Linked DNA regions of Canis lupus familiaris. The protein of the gene in region 1 binds, or shares a complex with, the protein of each later gene. Links are inferred from orthologs where the notes say so. Each region holds a gene or a part of one and is shown on either strand. Other genes may lie near its edges.

What was found. The genes of interacting proteins can lie anywhere in the genome.
Region 2: the proteins of XKR8 (region 1) and BSG are in contact, whole or in part, in a cryo-EM structure (PDB 7DCE), measured with the Homo sapiens proteins. The link is inferred for Canis lupus familiaris from reciprocal best matches to the Homo sapiens genes XKR8 and BSG. Residues at the interface, in NP_060523.2 of Homo sapiens: His232, Leu236, Val239, Leu242, Trp243, Leu246, Gln247, Arg280, Gly283, Arg284, Ile287, Phe291, Ser294, Asp295, Leu298, Ala301, Thr302; in NP_001719.2 of Homo sapiens: Trp326, Pro327, Gly330, Ile331, Glu334, Val335, Leu338, Val339, Ile341, Ile342, Phe343, Tyr345, Glu346, Lys350.

The regions. Positions count from the first base shown.
Region 1 is NC_049223.1:71,817,244-71,821,698, forward strand, and holds the start of XKR8 (XK-related protein 8), read right to left. Parts: upstream 2,992-4,455; 5' UTR 2,898-2,991; coding exon 2,605-2,897; intron 159-2,604; coding exon 1-158. Other genes in the region: SMPDL3B (acid sphingomyelinase-like phosphodiesterase 3b), read right to left, coding at 3,898-4,263.
Region 2 is NC_049241.1:58,428,327-58,433,038, forward strand, and holds the start of BSG (basigin), read right to left. Parts: upstream 3,004-4,712; 5' UTR 2,936-3,003; coding exon 2,869-2,935; intron 1-2,868.

The sequences.
Region 1 (4,455 bases):
CCAGCAGCAGCGTGAGCTGTGGAGTCGTCTCCAAGAAGGTCTCAAAGAGCCGCAGCATGCTGATGTCCAGGGTCAGGAAGTCGGCGTAAGCCAAGTCAAACTCCGAGGGCGCCTCCTGCCGCCACACCAGGAGCCCCTGCTGCAGCCCCTGCACACACCTGGGAGGGGGGGGGCGGACACGGATGCTCCAAGGGGCCAGGTTAGTGTGTGGTGGCGTCCCACCTTCCCTCACCCACTGGGTCGATGCAGGTGGCCTCCAGTCCTAGCTTTTGTCACTTACATGCTGAGGGGCCTTGGGCACAAGTGACTTAACCTCCCTGAACTTGCTTTTTGTTGTAGAATGGGGAGCAGTACCAGCTACCGGGGCTCCAGCTGGCCGGGGTGTCCTAAGGTCATCACAAACCATTTACTCCTGACAACATTCCCATTTAACGGATGGGGAATAGACCCAAAGAGCTAATCAATGGTGGAAACAGGATTTGGCCCCAAAGCTGTGTGAATTTCAAAGGTTTACTGTGAAACTGCTTCGGGCGATAGTTCTCAAATGTTAGCAAGCATAAGATTTTTCTTAGGATTCTGGGGGCCGGGGGGTGGAGTGGGGAGACATTGAGAGCTTGCGAGCACAGACAAGATAGGTCAGATGGTGCTGCAGGAAGATTACCCTGGCTGTGGAGAAGAGGAAGGGGTGGAGGGGTGAGCCCTCAGCTGTGAGAGCACAGATCTATTTAAGAGGACTGTCCAGAGTAATGGACATGGAGACAGAGGCAGAGTTAAGGGGTCCAGAGGTTGGCCAAACAGGCCTGGGTGACTGACCCACTGGCATTGGCATGAGGTGGTAGGAAGATGTACCACGATCTCCCCCACAGAGCTGATCTCAGCGGGCTACTGAGCCCACTCAGTCACAGCAAATTCAGTCATCTACTGTCACTTCCCCCTGGATGGACTAACACACTAAGGGAGCAGGGCGGGTAGGCCCAGGCTGGGGCTCCTCCCTCAGCAAAAGCCTCGGCCCCTGGTCCCCCAAGGCCCCTGCCTCAGTCTAGTCAAAGAGACCCCATTTTCAAAACCAAAGTGTAGGAAAGTCTGCTGGCCTCGTGCTCAGCAGAAATAGGAGAAGGGAAGATGCATGACACAGTTACGGATTCAGGGCTCCGCGAGGTCTGCCAGGACCCGAATAACCACTCCTTCGCGCCCGCCCAGCATGTTACTGATGCCTGTGCAGCCCCTCGGGCAAAACTGCAATATCAAAGCTCCTCTTGTCCACTCCTTAAGACCCGATGCAGCTTTGTCAAAGCAAGACCTGGAGAGAATCTGTAAAATCGATTCAAGAGCAGATCCTGGCTCCAGCCACCCCATCCCAACCCAGACCACATGTGTCCTGACTCCATCCCATGACTCTGATCCCTTGCTTTCTTTCAGTTTCTTCATCTCTAGAGGGCCCTGCCAGTTCAGAGGAGGAGTATAACCCACACAGATTTTCTGGAACCCAGCCTGTGTCCAGCCCTGGCTGGCTCAAGGGACATGCGTGAGTCAGACCCCATGTTGCTCTTTCACTTGCTCTGGGGGTGAGAGGTTGGGGCAGAGAGAACAAAACTCGGAAAGAGGGATTGAAACAACAAGCTCTGCTCTGGGGGTCAGGGCTGCTGAAGCTCCCCGCCCCGCACCCCCCCACACACACACAACCCCGCTCCATACACGGTGACCCAAGTGATCAAGCCAGCTGACATTTGTTGAATGCTTACTCAAAGCAACTTACAGATCTTATTTCATTTAATCTCTACTAAAAGAGGCAGGGGGAACCCTGGGTGGCGCAGCGGTTTAGCGCCTGCCTTTAGCCCGGGGCGCGATCCTGGAGACCCAGGATCGAATCCCACGTCGGGCTCCCAGTGCATGGAGCCTGCTTCTCCTTCTGCCTGTGTCTCTGCCTCTCTCTCTCTCTCTCTCTCTCTCTGTGTGACTATCATAAATAAATAAAAATTTAAAAAAATTAAAAAATAAATAAATAAATAAAAGAGGCAGGCGCTACAACCATCCCCACTGAGCAATGAGTAAACAGACCCGGAGGCTCCAGTGACTTGCCTGAGGCCCCACCCAGGGAAAAAAAGGAACTTTTTTTTTTGTATGGAAAATATAAGGAGTCTGCCCTTACCCTAGAGCCCACCAAGAGCCCAGCACCATACTAGGCACCTCAGCTCTTGCCTCCACTCCCCACAAGAGGCCGCCTGCCAGACCTGTTTCTACATCACTGTTGCCTTTTCAGAGAAGAGGAAAAAGGCTTAGAGAACGCAGGCATGAGGCCATAGACGGTAAATTAGCGAGGACTGGAGCCCAGAGAGGCCTGACTCCAGACCAAGTGCCTCAGTTTCTTCCCCAGGGTTGGCAGGAGGGTAGGGCTAGAGGAGGCGCTCAGAGGGCTGTCTGCCGGCCTGGCCTCCGTGGCTTTAGGGGCGGGGAGCTCACCTGTGGGCAGGAGTGCCCACAGGGCTTAGTTTCCTCTCCAGGGTCCGGATCCTCCCTTCCCGCCCCCTTCGGGGTGTCGCGGCCCTCCCCCGGGCTAGCAGCCCGCGGCGCCTGCCTCCCTCTCCCCGAGGGCGTGGTGCTCACCTGTACAGGTAGCCCAGCTGCAAGAGGTGCAGCAGCGCCAGGCAGCGACCCGGGGGCTGCGGCGCGTGCAAGCCGGCGGGGTCGGCGCGCAGCCAGAGCCAGCTGAAGAGCTGCAGCGCGACCGAGGCGAGGCCCAGCAGCGCCAGCACCAGCGCGGCCCACAGGTAGCGGCCGCTGACCACGTACTGGCCCGCGGCCCACAGGTCGGCGCCCAGGTCGATCAGGAAGGCGGCGGTGCCCCCAAAGCCCAGGACCACGTCCCAGAGGAGCGCGGCGCGGGGTAACCAGGGCATGACCCGCCAGCCGCTCCCCCTCCTCCTCCTCTGGGCTCAGGCCCGCCCTCGGGGCCCGGGGTCGCGGCGGCAGGAAGGAGGCGGGCGCAGCCCTAGGGGCCGCCCAGGACCCGGGCCTCCTGGGCGGGACTTCCCCGCCCCGCCCCGTCCGGGGAGGAGCGAGGCCCGCGGACCCCGCGGCTGGGGGCGCCCGCGATGCGGCCCGCGCCCGCCGGCGCCCCGGGAGGCCGGCCCCGCCGCGCCCGAGGGCCGCTGGGCCCGGAGACCGCCGGCCACTCCGTCCGTCCTTAGCCTCCCCGGACTTCTCTTCGCCTCGCTTTGCGATGGAGACGACGGAAGGGCCCGGAGAGCGGCGCCCGGGCTGGGACTGCGACCCCTCGCATCCGCGCGGTCGCGGGACAGCGAGGCGGGTTCTGTTCCCCGACGGCGGGACTTCGCAAAGCGGGTGTGCCTCGAGCGGGCCGAGCGCCCGTTGAGCCCGAGGGCACGGGCCCGCGGGGCGCCCCTCCCCGGAGGCCCCCGGTACTCGGACCATCCACACGCGGGGAGGCCAGGGTGGGGGGACCTGCAAGACCCGTCCAGAAACTGCGCAGGGGAGTTGCATTCAGCATTATCCATAGGGGTCCCCCGGTGGCGGGCGCAGCGCTTTAGCGCCGCTTTGGCCCAGGGCGTGATCCTGGAGTCCCCGGATCGAGTCCCGGCTCGGGCTCCCTGCACGGAGCCTGCTTCTCCCTCTGCCTGTGGCTCTGCCTCTGTGTGTGTGTGTGTGTGTGTGTGTGTGTGTGTGTGTGTGTGTGTGTGTGTGTCTCATGAATAAATAAATGAAATCTTAAAAAAAAAAACAACACACATTACTTATATACTAAGAGGAAAGACGCACAGCATAAGATGCTCGGTGAGCATTGTTTTCCCAATGAAACTTTTAAACCCCGTGCCGAGGTGGGGAGGGGGGGTCTCCGGGCCTGGTCCCCGAGCGGCGGCTGCTCCGGGCGGCCCCGGGTCACCGCGGGAGCAGCGCGCGCAGGCCCAGCGGCGCCGCAAGCAGGAGCGCGAGCCGGGGCGCGGGCGCGGCGCCGGGGGCGCGCAGGCAGGCGGCGTACGCGTCGAAGGCCACCTCGCGCAGCGCGCACACGTGCTCGGCGCGGCAGGCCTGCTCGCAGGCCGAGGGGTCGTAGCTGACCGAGTTGTAGACGTAGTAGCGCTGCAGCGCGCGGGGGTCGCTGGCGATGCGGCCCAGCGCCGCGTGCATGGAGCGGGCGCCCGCGTCGGGCACCCCGTAGGCCTGGGTCAGCCGGTACTCGAGCTCCCAGAGCGGGGTCCCCTGCGCGTTCGCCTGGCTCAGGTTCACAAAGTAGGTCACCATGTCCTGGAGGGAGGGCGCGGGGGAGGGCAGGCCGTGAGCAGCTGGCAGCTTTCACCCCCACAATCCCGCACCTCGCATTTGCCCCCAGATTCTTTACAGCTCCCACAATGCCGGCCTTTGGTTAGCATTTCCTACTTACCGGGTAGGCCCGCTGTGCCGATGAGGTGACTGACCTTATGACCCCCATTTCACAGA
Region 2 (4,712 bases), on another chromosome or scaffold:
ACCCCTGTCTCCCGGGAGAGAAAGTAGTGCCCAAGGCCACAGGCTTGAGGGCTACTTCCAGGAGGGGGCAGGGGCTGCAGGGGCTCAGAGAGGGGCCAAGGCAGGGCATCCCCATCCCGTCTCAGAGGAACCACAGGCTGACACCCCTGCCCTGACCGAGGCACCCCAGGAATTCACAGGGGCAGGAAGGAAACAGGGAGAGAGCCTGAAAAGCGAAGACTCTGTTTTGGCCCAAGTGACTGTGACCCACGTTCTCAAGTCAAGTCACCTTCATCTAAAAACAGCCACCCCTCCTCCACGCCCTGAGGCAGCCGGGCAGGGCACCCAGCCAGGCAGGCCTTATGGTAAACAGCCCAGGAGCTGGGAGGAGGCCCCAGCACCCAGCCTCCTCCCACCCACCTCGGCAGGCAGCTCTGCTCAGGTAGGAGGAGCAAGAGAACATTTCTGGGATGCCAGCCATAGGCTCTGGGCCTCCCCCCTCCCCTCCATCTCACCAGGAGGCGGCTCCCGCTCCCTTCACCTGAGGCTCAGAGGCCAAATCCACCGCCTGCAGGACTCAGCTAGCAACCTGGGGCCCGCCTGTGCCCTCCCCAGCAGGCCTGCCAGGACGATGGGACCCTCGACAGTCCCAGTCCCTGTCCCTGTCCTGGGCCTTGGCCAACACGGGCGCCAACCTGCCAGGCATGTGCTGCGTGAGTTGAGGAAAGCCACTGCTGGCAGCGTCCCCTGAAGCAAGCGTCTGGGACACTGACCCAGACAGGAGAGGCGCACGCTGTCAATAATTCACCCGTCCCAGGGGAAAAAGGACCATGGCATTCCTGGGAGTTCCCGGGAAAGGTGGAACTATCAAAGGTGATACAAAACAGGGCCTGGGGGCGGGGGGGGGGGGGGGGCCTCAGTGGGTGAGCGTCTCCTTTGGCTCCGCTCTGATCCCAGGGTCTGGAGGTCAAGCCCCATGACAGCAGGGAGCCTGCCTGTCCCTCTGTCTCTGCCCTCCACTCCCCACTCGTGCTCTGTCATATAAGTAAATAAATAAATAAAATACTTAAAAACAAACAAAGAGGGATCCCTGGGTGGCTCAGCAGTTGAGCATCTCCCTTCGGCTCAGGGTGTAACCCTGGGGTCCCGGGATGGAATCCCACATCAGGCTCCCTGCAGGGAGCCTGCTTCTCCCTCTGCCTGTGTCTCTGCCTAAAAAAAAACAAAAAACAAACAAACAAAAACCACTAATGAAATACATGTCAAGATATTTCATTTAAAAAAAAAAAATTGGGATCCCTGGGTGGTGCAGCGGTTTGGCGCCTGCCTTTGGCCCAGGGCCCAATCCTGGAGACCCGGGATCGAATCCCACGTCGGGCTCCCGGTGCATGGAGCCTGCTTCTCCCTCTGCCTGTGTCTCTGCCTCTCTCTCTCTCTCTGTGTTACTATCATAAAAAATAAATAATAAATAAATAAATAAATAAATAAATAAATAAATAAGAAGCAAGCACAGACACGAATCCCAGGTGGGCTCAGTGCAGAGACCGCCCACCCGCTACAGGCTGCGGGAGAGGGGGCAGGGGTCCTCCCGGCCTCCTGGCTGGAGCGCTGGTGACTGAAGCCAGGAATGAGGTAGAGACGTGCTTCCCCCTCTGACAGACGGGCGAACTCAGGAAAAGCACGAGTCCTCCTCCACGCCCCGCGGGCCGGGGCCACCAGCCACGCAGAGCGACTCCCCAAGGCTGGCGCTGCCAGAAACAGCAGCCTATTCTCCGCGTCCGGCGAGCCTGCGGGCTCCTGAGTCCGGCAGGGACCCGCTGGCAGTGGATAGTGGGCAGCGCGCCCGCCAGGGCCCAAGGCCCTCGCCCGGAGGCTCTCATAAACCGTCTGAGGAGGAGGAGGAGGACGGAGGCCAAGCGAGTCAAGTGGGTCAGGGGTAAGCGGGTGAAGCTCCGCGGGAGGCCCAGACCCTTCCTGCACTTTGTTCCCTACCTGCCATCCCTGGAAATCTTTAACCCAGAGCCACACGGGAAGTCTCAACCCCGGGAAGAACCCGTCCTGCTGTGTGTCCCCCGACACTCGGGCTCCCACCCAGCTTCTTTCTCCCCGTCGGTCCGACCCCCAAACGCTGCCCAGTCCCCAAGGCCTCCGCGGAACCGGACGCTGTGTGAGCTGAACACAAGGCTCTGCACGCTCCCTGCTCCCTGCCCGGACCCGGGCTGCCCGGGCGACCTCGCGGCGACCTTGGGGCACCTCCCCTCCGCAGCCGGGCCTCAGTTTCCAGCCCCGGAAAAGGACAGGGTGGGCAGGACGCCACCTCCTCCCCCGGCTCTGCAGGCGGACGAGCCCGCCCGGCGCCCAAGGGCTCAGCGCGCCGCGCGACACCGGGGGCAGGAGCCTCCCGAGCAGCTCCGGGCCCGAAATCCTGCCAAGAATGACAATCCCTCCAGGCCCCGCAGGCTGCAGGCAACCCCCGCCCAGACCCCCGGGAGCCCCCGCGCCGACCCCCGGGAGCCCCCGCCCCGACTCCCGCGAGCCCCCGCGCCGACCCCCGCCCCCACTCCCAAGAGCCCCGCGCCGACCCTCGGGAACCCCCGCGCCGACCCCCGGGAGCCCCCGCCCCGACTCCCAAGAGCCCCCGCGCCGACCCCCGCGAGCCCCCGCGCCGACCCCCGCCCCCGCCCCGAGCCCCTGCGCCCCGCGCCGACCCCCACGAGCCCCCGCGCCGACCCCCGCCCCGACCCCCAGGAACCACCGCGCCGACCCCCGCCCCGACCCCCAGGAACCACCGCGCCGACCCCCAGGAGCCCCCGCGCCGACCCCCAGAAGCCCCCGCGCCCTCCCCGCGCCTCCCGCTCCGCCCCCGCCCGCGTCCGTCCCGACGCTCACCTGCCCCGGAGCCGCCCCCGGCGCCCAGCAGGGCCAGCGCCAGCACCACGAGCCCCCGAGCCGCCATGCCGCCGCCGTCCGTGCCGACCCCGCCGCCAACCGCCGCCCGCGGCGCTATAAGAACCTGAGGGGGGCCCGGGCGCGCGCGCGCAGGGCGACGTCGCGGGGCGGGGACGCGCACGGCACGCCGGTCGGCCCTCCTGCGCACGCGCGCGGAAGCACGTATACACGCGCTGGCCCGAGCGGGCGCGGGCGGACGCACCACGTGACCCCGGAGGCCCCGCCTCGCTGCCTGGGGGCGTGGCTGCGTTGCTAGGAAACGGGGGCGTGGCCTGCGCTGGGCCCCTCCTCCCTTTCTGCAGCCTCAGACTGTGACGTCAGAACTGGGGGGGAATCCTCCCAGGTGGTTGACAGCTCGCTTTATATCGTGTGTGTTTTATCCCAGTACGGAAGGGGAAAAAAGCATTAAGGGAGGGGGTTAGGGATCCCTGTGAGCAGGTGGGACGTCGCGCTGGGCTGGGGCGGGCTGGCGGATTTAGCAAATAAAAATACCTGGATGGCAGTTAAGTTTGAATTGCAGATGGAGAATGAGTAATTTCCTGGTACAAGGATCCCGGGCAGTATCTGGACGCAGTTATGCCAGGAAAAGCATTCGCCGTTTATCTGAAATTCAGATTAACTGGCTGTGCCGCATTTTGCCTGGAAAACCTACCGTGAGGTCCCTATGTTTTACAACAAATACATTTTATTTTTTTATTTTTTAAGATTTTACTTATTTTTTTATTTTTTAAGATTTTATTTTATTATCTTTTTAAAGATTTTATTTATATATTCATAAGAGACACACAGAGAGAGGCAGAGACACAGGCAGAGGGAGAAGCAGGCTCCATGCAGGGAGCCCGATGCGGGACTCGGTCTGGGGACTCTGGGGTCACGCCCTGAGCCCAAGGCAGACGCTTAACCACTGAGCCCCCCAGGTGCCCCTTTAAGGTTTTATTTTTAATAATAGTGGTATTCTCTACACCCGACGTGGGGCTCGAACTCGCAACCCTGCGATCAGAAGTCGCGTGCTCCGCCCAACCCACCCAGCCAGGCGCCCGTACCGCAAACACTTTTCGAAATGACAAAATGATTTCTTTTTTTTTTTTTTTTTTGACAAAATGATTTCAAACAAAAACCAGGTAGTGTCACCTTGACGACTTTGGCTCAGGCAGTGGTTTCTTATATACGACAGCAAAAGCATGAGCGACAATCAATATCTAAACAGAACTTCATCAGGATTAAACAGCTGGTGCTTCAAAGAACTGCAAGGAGGAAGTGAGGAAATGGCCCGCAGGCCGGGAGAAAGCACGGGTACATCACGTGTCCCAGGAGGGCCTTACATCTAGAAAATATAAAAAACACTTACAACTGGATTTAAAACACGGACAAATAATCCAATTAAAAACAGACAAAGGACCCGAATGCGACACTTGTCCAAAGAAGACATGCACGGGGGGCACTAACCATGAAGAGGTGCCGTCGTGAGCCATCAGGGAACGCAAATCACAGGCGGCCCTGCTGGAAGCAAGAAAATCACAAGCGTTGGCGGGCGAGGACCCAGAGCCCCCCATGCGGCTGAGAGGAAGGGACGGGGACACGGGTGCAGCCGCGGCGGGTCACGCCCCAGCAGTTCCCGCTCCACCCAGCGCCCCGACTGCTGTGTGTGCACCCCAGGGTGGGCAGCTGCACCCAGGCTCCCCGCATCCCCCGCAGCCCCGGTGCCTCTTCCCATTGTGTTCACCTGCTTGTGCTTTTCAAGACTGGCAGAGACCAGAGAAGCTCTGAAGAGGCGTCGACGTTCA